Arabidopsis thaliana: one gene and its partner. The protein of the gene in region 2 interacts with the protein of the main gene of each other region in a pairwise test. Each region holds a gene or a part of one and is shown on either strand. Other genes may lie near its edges.

What was found.
Region 1: the proteins of LOL2 (region 2) and ASIL2 interact in binary tests that used the Arabidopsis thaliana proteins (3 or more experiments, as listed by UniProt).

The regions. Positions count from the first base shown.
Region 1 is NC_003074.8:4,705,333-4,710,996, reverse strand, and holds ASIL2 (sequence-specific DNA binding transcription factor), read left to right. Parts: upstream 1-1,820; 5' UTR 1,821-2,375; coding exon 2,376-3,707; 3' UTR 3,708-4,195; downstream 4,196-5,664. Other genes in the region: AT3G14190 (uncharacterized protein), read right to left, coding at 24-90. UniProt on the Arabidopsis thaliana protein: Transcription regulator that may repress the maturation program during early embryogenesis.
Region 2 is NC_003075.7:11,485,969-11,491,796, reverse strand, and holds LOL2 (lsd one like 2), read right to left. Parts: upstream 2,822-5,828; 5' UTR 2,729-2,821; coding exon 2,560-2,728; intron 2,378-2,559; coding exon 2,270-2,377; intron 1,812-2,269; coding exon 1,702-1,811; coding exon of another isoform or gene 1,645-1,701; exon of another isoform or gene 1,578-1,644; coding exon 1,497-1,577; 3' UTR 1,374-1,496; downstream 1-1,373. Other genes in the region: AT4G21620 (glycine-rich protein), read right to left, coding at 1-278; ENDO5 (endonuclease 5), read right to left, coding at 4,562-4,680, 4,764-4,837, 4,942-5,009, 5,112-5,204, 5,285-5,368, 5,540-5,595, 5,716-5,826. UniProt on the Arabidopsis thaliana protein: Putative zinc finger that may be involved in programmed cell death and defense response.

The DNA.
Region 1 (5,664 bases), on a different chromosome or scaffold from region 2:
GAGAGTAGAGAAAGATTAACTACTTTTGCGATGAATTGGAGCGTTCTCGTCTGGGAAGATCATTTGTTGAAGAGCGTTCATGTTCGCCATATGGTTTTAACTGTGAATCATCAAAGAACCAATTGCAGAAACGAAGATTTGATTCCAGAACTGACGATTTTAAGCAATTAGAAACCCTAAAAAAGGTAACAGAAACCCAACTCGAAATCGAAACAAAGATCGTTTTTTTCACAAAACCCAATTCGATCCTCAAGCAAATTTAACACCACAGACCCCAGAAACCCAGAACGAATCAAGTAGCGACATACGAAAAGAAGAACAAACAATCGCAAGAAGAACAGTCTATAATGTGAACCTAAATCAGAAGGAAGAAAGAGATTACCTTTGTAAAAGTGAAGAAGTTTCTTGGTGAGATTCTTGTTGGAAGAGAAGTGTATAAGAAGATGAAGAAGAGCGCTTAGAGTGTTTAACGGTAACTTTTCAATGTTGTTCTGACGAAATAATGAAGAACCTCCGGGATTAGGCCAAAAAAAGTAAATTTATAGAAGAAGAGAAAAAGTTTCTAGCCGTTGGCAGAATATTTTAATGCAGGCCTAATCAAGAATTGGCCCAGGTACAGGCCCATCACATAAATCAAATTGACGGCATCAAACTATCATGTAAGATAGAAGCAAAACATGTCACACTTCTCTAAGTTATCTTCTTATCGGCTAGATTTATCATCATCCTTGATTAAATCTCCTTAATTTTGGAAGGTTAAATTATAGGTAAAGTGTATATAATTAGTCTAACCAAGGATATTCAACGCTTCTCGTTCCTGTTCCTTATATAAAACCATTATCCTCACATAAAGAAGACTTAACAAAAAAAAAACTCTTTTCAAAACACATTAGAGACAATTAACAAGAAAAACCCTTCTAATAATTTGATCAGAGATATGGGTTTTTCGCACAAGTTGTGGGATGAAACTTTGGCCGGTCCAACGCCGGAAAATGGTCTCGGGAAGTTGAGAAACCACATATCCGGTGAAAGTGCCAACCGGAAGTTGATGGTGGATCTGAAACGTGTCCCGAATTCTCCTGACCGTTCAAGCAACCCCGTTTCCCCTTTGACTCTTATGTTACCTTTTTTAAAAATCCTTTCTGATCCACTTTTTTTTTATCTTCTATGCTTGTGTTATGAGCAGTTAAAACCCTATATATTCATGTAAATTAAAGACTTTGCAAGGTGATACATATGTTCATAGTCATTATAAGCTTTTTTTTATTATTTTTTTTTTTTATTTTGACATCCATAATCATTATTAGCTTGAGAGTATTATGGATTTGTAAATTAATGATTACCAAAATCATTTGTATGCAGCTGGAACACCAAGTGAAACACATGCTACAAGTCTCAATGCTTGCGATTGGTTTGATCTCCCTCTCTTTTCTTTCCTCTCAAACTATACTTCATTTTATCCAACGCATTATCGCTTTCATTAGTACCACCATATCTAATTAACGTCCGGTAATACTGCAGGATTGTGCTAAACGCATTGGACCGTTGAAAAATATTACAAGGTATTTCTACGAGAAGAAGAAGTATCCCAAACTACTTTTCTTTGTATATATATATTTGCTGTGTACATAACATAATGGTCGCTTTTGGTGTTTTGAGATTTGAGAAATATTAAATTTCTGTTTGTTTCACAATTCACGAAGATTATATAAGGTCTTTTTGAAACATAGTATTTCTGGAATGTTTAAAGTTGTATCTTTGACAATGGTGAAAAGAAAAAATGATACTAAGTGATAACATGCTAACGTAGCGTATGGAAAGCCCAATAAAAACCCATGCCCAAAGTAAATAACATCCACGTCACCGTTCTTATTGTTAAAAGAGAGACTAATTCGAATCGATTTAACGAATGAAGCAAGACAACGAAGGAAGACAACTGGAAACTATCGACGGACTAAAAAAAGTCTACGACCGATATTGAAACTGACGGTTAGGCTAAGGGTAATTTCGGTACATCACCGGAAAAATGGTTCACGGGGATAGTTCCGGTAATTATAGTAAAACTAGATGGGCTTTTCCGTCAATACACTTCCTCATCGGATTACGAAGAAATGGGGAAATTACGATACAAACCCATCTTTTACCCCTAAACCGAGCCGGCAACTTTACCGGTGACGGAATCTTACCTCTGACCTACCAATCACGTCATTCCACGTCATCTCCCCGTATCTTCTCACGTCCTTCCACGTGTCCCCTCTACTCACCGACGCCGTCTCCTTCCCGTTTACCCCTCCCGAACAGAATATTAACCCAAACCCTAACCCTATCTCCCTCTTTCACGAGCTTCTGACTCAGATCCGGCGATATCGAATTCCATGGAGGACGATGAAGACATCCGATCTCAGGGTTCCGATTCACCTGATCCGTCTTCCTCCCCGCCGGCGGGACGAATCACGGTTACGGTGGCTTCGGCAGGTCCGCCTTCTTATTCTCTGACTCCTCCGGGTAATTCGTCGCAGAAGGATCCGGATGCGTTGGCTCTGGCGCTGCTTCCGATTCAGGCCAGCGGTGGAGGGAATAACAGCAGTGGGAGACCAACCGGCGGCGGCGGGAGGGAGGATTGTTGGAGCGAAGCAGCTACGGCTGTGTTGATTGATGCGTGGGGTGAGAGATACTTGGAGCTTAGCAGAGGGAATCTGAAGCAGAAGCACTGGAAAGAGGTGGCTGAGATTGTGAGCAGCAGAGAGGATTACGGTAAAATTCCCAAAACTGATATACAGTGTAAGAATAGGATCGATACGGTGAAGAAGAAGTATAAACAAGAGAAGGTGAGAATCGCTAACGGCGGTGGCCGTAGCAGATGGGTGTTCTTCGACAAGCTTGACCGTCTGATTGGATCAACGGCGAAGATCCCGACGGCAACTTCTGGAGTCAGCGGTCCTGTCGGAGGATTGCATAAGATTCCTATGGGTATTCCAATGGGAAGTCGTTCGAATCTGTACCATCAGCAAGCTAAGGCTGCAACACCGCCTTTCAATAATCTTGACCGGTTAATTGGAGCTACGGCTAGAGTCTCAGCTGCTTCTTTCGGTGGCAGTGGTGGAGGAGGCGGAGGAGGATCTGTCAATGTACCTATGGGAATTCCGATGAGTAGCCGTTCAGCTCCGTTTGGACAGCAAGGGAGGACTCTGCCACAGCAAGGTAGGACACTGCCACAGCAACAGCAGCAAGGGATGATGGTGAAAAGGTGTAGTGAGTCGAAACGCTGGCGTTTCAGGAAGAGGAACGCTTCTGATTCAGACTCGGAATCTGAAGCAGCAATGTCAGATGATTCCGGTGACAGTTTACCACCTCCTCCTCTGTCGAAGAGGATGAAGACGGAGGAGAAGAAGAAGCAAGATGGTGATGGAGTGGGGAACAAATGGAGGGAGCTGACTCGGGCAATCATGAGATTCGGTGAAGCTTATGAGCAAACAGAGAATGCGAAACTGCAACAGGTGGTTGAGATGGAGAAAGAGAGGATGAAGTTCTTGAAGGAGCTTGAGTTGCAGAGAATGCAGTTCTTTGTGAAGACTCAATTGGAGATATCACAACTTAAGCAGCAACATGGGAGGAGAATGGGAAACACCAGTAATGATCATCATCACAGCCGCAAGAACAACATCAATGCGATTGTCAACAACAACAACGATTTGGGTAATAACTAGAATTTAGTGATGCAGTGTCGTAATTGATATATTTTAGATTTGAGTCTTTAATTGTTGAAAGAGAAACTGAAACTTATCTAGGCTTCATGAGTGTATTAATATTTTGCATATCTTTCTTAACTTTGGTCATATGGAACAGATTTAACTTCACTAGATTGCCTGAGATCATTCTGCTGCAGACTCTTGTGCACGTTTTTGAACTTCTCTTAATCTCTGAGTTAGATTGTGTTTCACTAGTTAGGTTAGAACATGGCATAGGACATTTTTGACACAATCCAACCGCAAAATCTTAAAGCTATGTTTGGTTATTATGACATTGGAGATTTGCATGTGTACCTAAAAGCATTTTTTTAACTCTTTTTCTTTTGAGTAATTGTTTGAGCTAGATTTTCTTGTGTCTGAAGCATCATTCAAACCACCAATGATGATCTTCTATAAAAGAAGAATGTTAGGCAAGAAACCTTTTCGTTGGTCTGTTTATTTATTTTTCTATGATGTTTGCCTTTTGGCATTTTATAGGTACTAAACAAATGACAGTCAATTCAAATTCATTACACATAGATGTTTCTCACAATTTTACCTTCCGCACTAAGCTAATATTCATGTATCGAAAGGTGAATCATGATATTTGAGTAAAAATACCATCTTCCGAGTCCCACCGTAACATCATTCTAACTTGCACTATTCTTATTTTTTTTTGAAACGAATACAATAATGAAAACGTAAGAAATAAAGCATCTTGAAATCTTCTGAATTTTGTTTTTGTTTTAGGTAGAAAAGAGTTTGATTCCAAAGGTCCACGTGTGTTTAGACATATAGATTAGATATTATCTAATGATATATTGGTATCACTAGGATTACTAATCAAGATTTTTCCTTAGTAAAGTTCAAAATAAAGTTTTTTTTTTCAAAATAAAGTTTTTTTTTGGAACTAAATCTAGCAATAAAAGTAGTGATTACTAAAGAAATAGTAAATTATTAATGTAACAAATGAATATTCTTTTTTTTTTTTTAAAGTGGGCAAGAAAAGATACCAAAAAGAAAGAAAGAATTGGGTAGGATTTAAAGCCATGTCTCCATTATAAATATATAGTTAGGGTCAATTGTCCATTAAAATTAAAGAAGAATAAAGAGTGATATCCTATAATTAGATATTTTTTCAGGGGGTCCATCATTTGATTTAAAGTGTCTCCAAAAGTTGGAATAAAAATGGTTGGTGTTAATATTATTAATTTTCAGTAGAGTAGAATAAGCTCTAATTTAAATACTTCTTTTTGTCAGCATCTATTTAGTACAGTGTTTATTTAACATAATATACATTTTGCACATAGAGATTTTACTCTAAAACAGCGAATCGTTGTTACTCTTAACGTTAAATATTTGGATCTGAAAGGCAAAGTACCAATATACCCATTTGTTCCTTGGCCCATCTGTGGGTAAGAGACTAATTTACCCCTCCAATTTATATACTTCACAGCAATAAATTCGAAGAATAAAAGGGTATTATGGGTAACTAACGAAAGCCGTTTAGGATTCGGCGAGACCTGTTTCCGGAATTTCGTAATTACTGCCGACTTTCTTTGATTTTTGTTTAATTTAATATTTCAAATTTTACGCTCTATTACTCTCTTTTTTTTTTTGTTTTGTCATCGTATACGCTACTTCACGTCAACAAAAATGGTGATTTTTGTCTGAAGAACGTTTATTTCTTTCTCTTGATTTCACTTTCTCTCTCTAAAGTAGATTTTTGACAAAGATAGATTACGGCGGAAGGAAGGAGACACACAATGATGGGAGAGATATTGAATCCATCAGCGGAAGTGAAATTAATTACGAAGTTGACTTGAGAGTTTTGAGTGAAGCCAAAAACAGAAGAAAACAATCTTCATTGTTAGGGTTTTAATAAGCTTTAAGAAGAGGATGCTGAATATAGAAAGCAGAGAAAGAATCTCGACAA
Region 2 (5,828 bases):
AGCTTCTTGCCGTTACAAGGTCCTTTCTCTTTGCAAGTAACCGTTGGTCTCACCACACCTCCTTTCCCAAACCCTCCGCTAGGACCACCAAACCCTCCACCGTATCCACCACCAACTCCAGTCCCCGGAAACCCGTTTCCAAACCCGGGTATAAATCCGGATCCGGGTACACCACCGAATCCTAAACCATCGTTCCCGCTCTTTTGACGAGCTGATTCAGTTGCAGAGACGAGGATGATGATAAGAAGAGAAGCCAAAAGGATAGATTTTGTGAACATTTTTGGTAATGTAGATATTTAGTGGGTTTGGTTGAGGAGATTAAATAAAAAGCTGGATGATATATAAAGATAGAGAAGAGCATTAAATTGGAAGGTATGAAAATACAGTTAAGACAATGATTCGTGGACTTTAGTGTGTAATACAATCACTTTAATGCCCGTACTACTACTCTACTTTGCAAAGAAGACTCTTGTGTCTTTCTCTATAGTCTCTATTACTTGCGTAACTAGTTGAGAGACTGTTCAAATATTTTTATTTAGCAGCACTTGGCGTTGGCGACATTTAATTTAAGCATGTGTTATTCAAAGAGCGACAGATAGTTTAAATTAAGATTTGATAGTGGAGGACTTTTGACAGATGTGTTCATGATAAAAAAAATAAAGGATTAATTACCTAAAGTTTGGATGAAATCCACAATTGGTATTCTCTGTAACCATCTGCCAAAAATTCAAAAATTTGTGTGTTAATAATAGTGTCTATTTATAAACACAACAAATTTCTAAGCAACTGTTTTATTACTCGCACAAAAAAAGAAACTTGTGGTGTTCATAATTTAATCTGTTCTATAAGGCCCACTCATTATTTCAATCCAACCATATCATTTAAGACTTTCAAGTCTTAAATCAAAATCTATGCAGGTTTGATTTAAAAGGATAAACTGGTTAACAAAATGTAAGTTTCGTCCAAGGTTTCATTAAATTTAGGGTTGATTTCCATTAAATTGGTTTCGTTGACAAGTTGGTTCTTCACCCACACACAGCTCTTGTTAGCTCTCTCGAGGACCCACCATTAGTTTGTATTTTATATGAAACTGTAATGTAAATTATTTATGCATATTTGGTTGGGTAAGAGTCCATGTTTTGTTTGCTATTTATACGACCTAATTATTGAAATTCATTGACAAATTCGGCCAAGTAGACTACTAGTTAGTTTTTCTCACCTGTGAAATATGAATTTTGTTTTTATGTATTGTGTGAGACTGTGAGCTGTGTTTGTTTATATTGGTCCAGTACATATATCAACTTTTGTATGGATATATACACATTCTTTTTAACCACTAAAGCTTAAAACAGTAAAGGATGATGAGCAAGTAATATCTGAAAGAATGGGAATTCAATGAGATTATTAATGGTGATTTTATTTCATCTATCCTTCGACATTATTACAAGGTTTTTAGTCGTCAAACCGGTTCAAAATTGACAAAAATCGGTTCAAGTTTAATTCTCTGCTCTCCTGAGACTGCTTAAACTTTTGAGTGGTCCTTGCTGCTCAGACCATGGAGGTCGTTTGTTGTTTTCCTGAAATATAACACAGTTTATTATAAATGATTCATCAGATGATTACTTACTCGGATCTCAAAATGTATCAACTCTTCCAAGTATGATTTGGACATGGAGCACAAAACCATCTGTGAATACATACACTGATATCTGTGACAGAATTGCAGGAGGAACATCTAACAGCTGGAGCTCCATAAGGATACATCAGTAGCAGTTTGCAATTGTTGCAATTCACCTGACCAACCTGGTTAGCTGCAAACAAAGAACGACAAGTCCAGAACCGATAAGAGAAGAAGGCTATTTCATCAATAATGAGGCCAAGTGATTCACAAGCTAAGAAGAACAATCTTGGTCTTAAGATCACACAATTTCCCCAAGAGTAGTAAGAGTAAAGGATAAAGACCACATAAATGGTCTACAAAGGAGACATTATGATGGAGTAGAGACCAAAAGGCTCACAAAAGCTTAAGAGAAGAATCCTAACCAAAGATCATTCTTGTGTCAGTTAAGAACTAAACTCATTTGGTCTCAGGAAGCTTACATTTTGAGATTCTCAAAAGAACATAGATATATCATTCACACATGCTAAGTAAAACTAGACTGAGAGAGCATTCCAAGATTGTTCCATTAAGAGTTTCAAGTGACTGAGATTATCAACAAAAGCTTTTCAAGTAATGAATAAGAGATAAAAAAGCCATGGAAGAACGAACCTTCAAGAACGAGATTAACAGTCTGACAAGAGGAGCACTTAACATGTTTGGATCCTCTTAGATAAGAAAGCAAACGCCTGCAAGATCCACATACCATTTGGGCCTTTTCTGCAACAACCCCAAAAACAAAGAAGATTTGCAGAAAAAAAACACTAATCAATTCTCGGAATCGAAAATGGGTTATCTCTAAAAGTCTACAAACTCCACTAAAAATCTCTAATTTGATCAGACTGTAGCAAGAAATGGAAGCAAATCGATAAACCCTAAAATAGACAAGACTACAAGAATACCGGGAATTTCTACGGTGGTGGGATTGGGGTTTACGGCGGCGGTGATGGTGACGATTGGAGGAGGAAGAACTGCAGATTCCCATCCCGGAGGCGGACCTTCCTCTTCCTCCTCTTCTTCTTCACGGTGCTTTTGTTCTTCCTTCTGCGTTTGTTGTTGTATCTCTTCCATCACGCCTTCCGTCTCGGCTCCGGCGAAGATGTCCAAAGTTAACTCTCAGATTATTATTACTTTTACCTTTTTAACTTTCCAGTAACGTTGACAAATAGTTGACTTTCTTAATAAATGTAAGGTAAAATTCAATACAAGAACAAACAAAAAAGATTTAGAAAGAAAATCAAAACAAATGATAGTAGATAAATTCGTTATTGCATCGGTGAATCAATGAACAATGTTCACATGACTCTCTTATCAATCAGATGGTAGTAACAACAGCATGCACTACAGCTAAATATTCTAGCTCATCCTTGGCTTTATATACATCGTCAAACCATTCTAGTATCCCCCAAATCTCTCCATCCTTGCGTTTTTCAATCGTAATTTCCGCACACCAAATTTTTCTCACGTTACCCCACTCCTTAGCACTCCACGTACACCACCACCATTTTTCCACCATAATATGCCAATTTAACATTACCATAAACTTTAGGCAATCTTTCCAACCCCTTCATAGTTGTCCATGATCCTTTTTCCGAGTCATACCAATCGATCATACCGTTACCACTTCTATTGCAACAGTAGAACACGTTCTTTATCACACAAAAAAATGATGAGCAACGCCATCCATTATTCATCGCTAAGTCTGCCGCTATCCATCTACCTTTATGCAGCTTGTAAGTCACATTATGAAAATACGACCTTACATAGACAGTTCCTTCATACACTATGCTCTCACACTTATAGCCTGTGCATATCTTCTCCTCACTCGGGAATTGCAAAAACTCCCAAGTTTGGGTTTTCGTATCAAAAACCTCCATCCATTTCGTTGAATCGAGAGTTCCGCGGCCTCCTGTTACATATATTTTCCCATCAAGGACGCAAGTAGATTGGAACACACGGGAAACCTGCATGCTAGGGGCCTCACACCATGTGTGAGTACGACAATCCATGACCATGACGCTAGACGAAGGTTTAGTTCTATTATTACTGAATCCCCCAATAGCGTAGATATTAGGACCAACAGCCACTACACTATCCGACCATGATGCAGATTTAGGATATGAAATTGGGATTAAAATCTTTTTTGAGCTATTTGGTTTGCGGCAAAGAGTGAACCAAATTAATTGTGGGTTAGAAGCGTCATATGTAATCTGCGTTAAGCACACGTACAAACAACTCTCGGTGCGGCCTAAGAGAGTTTGGGTCTGGTAAAGCTCCGTTGAAGTAAGGATAGAGCGGAATCTCTTGGATACTAAAGAGAGAGTTGGATAGTACTATCTTGAGATGCGGGCCAAATTAAACAGTTTAAAACCAAATCATCAGGAAGCATAAGAAAATTCATCCGTCTTCTTTTAAAAGGTGGCTCTTCTCCGTTCATTGCTGTGGAAGTGCACCCGAGAGCGCTAGCTGTGTCGGCTTTGCTTTTTTTTTCTCTCTCTCTTTTAGGGTTTAAGTAGCTTTTCACGTAAGAAACTCTTTTTTGTGTGTTTTGCGCTTAGGCTTTTTATGTCTCACTTGAAATCTTTATATAGCGAATTATCATTCCTAATCTAATGAGGAAATCTAACTTCTTTTTCTATTTTACTCCTTTATGTTAACTTACCTTTTTCATAAGATAAGAAGAAGGATACTAATTAACAAAACTGAAAACAAACAAAAAAAATGCAAAGTGTTATCCGTTAGTGTGGTTTGTTATTGGAAGTTTGAACCATGTCCCAAAATAACAAATTTTTGCATGAAGATTTTGGAGGTTCACTCATTAGTCATGACTCAACCATTCACAGTGTTATAAAAAACACTTAAAAGGAGTTGTTACGTGGGTTCTCAAGGATCTTTTTCTTAGATTCATAATCCTGCGAGCTTCGGTTTTGCAGAAAAGATACGATTAAGAGTAGCTGCCAAGCGAATCCCACCTTGTGCAAGTCTCTTCTCTACAACGGGTAACCGAGAAAGGAAATACTCATCTGCAGAGAAAGCAGAAGATCAAGTCATGTCCATGATTAAAGAAAACAAAAAGCCACGATCTGGTTTCATAGAGTAAGTATACCTCCTAAAGTAGTCCCCGGAGTAGCGTTCCTGTAAGCATACTTGCAGGCGAGATCAATGCTTTCAGAAGCATACCTTTAACACATCAAAGAACAAAGAGAATCAACAATGATATGGTAACGAAAACTAAGTTTTCTCTGCTATTAAGCAACTTAACAGATATATAGATGCTTGCTTACAGATTTGGACAGGCCTTTTGGTGAAAGTGACATGACTTCCACGACGGAACATCATTCGACCAGCCGTTCTATATTAAGACAGACGTAACAACAAACACTCAATGTAAGTTGTGTTTATCTTGGATACGGCTATAACTTGCTGAAGCTGATTAGAGAAGGCAAGATTGTACCTTGAGTTTGGCTTGAAGAGCTTGAATCATGTGTGGAAGGCTTGAATTGTAGTATGTTTCTAGAGCAGAGTCAATTATCATGTTGTCCCAGACCTTCAAGTTAAGATCGTTCCACTTCCGTGTCAGGAAAGATACTTTTTAGCATCAATATGACTAAAAAACAAAGCACTTACATGGTGCAAATTTGATTTGTTATGGTACCAGTTGACTATTATTGTGTTACCACCTAGATCTCCAAGAAAACCAGTATGCAAGGGCTGCGAAAATCATAATCCACATAAAGATTAGCCATACTCTTGTGTTGCTACTATACACTAATCAAACCTCCAGAGTCCAGAGTAGATAGAGTAGTAGCCTCAAATGCATATAACTCTGACAGCATTTGTTTGTAATATTATGATTCGACTGAATTTGCAAAAAGGACTAACCTGATGAACATCTCCCATATAATGTGACAAGAACAAGAGAGCCTCTGTCAAGTTGTCTGCCAAGAACAGAAAGAAAAAGACTTCTAAGTCACACTATTATGATCGATGTACTCACACAGAAATCAGTAAACTGAAACATTAAAAGAAGTATCAGATTCACTTAAAATCTAACTCACAGTGGACTATATTCTGTGAGTTTTCAGAAGCAGACATTAACTGGTTTGTGTAATTGAAGATCGCTCCTGTCACACACCAGTCCTTATGCTTATGAGTGTCATGGCAGTCCCCT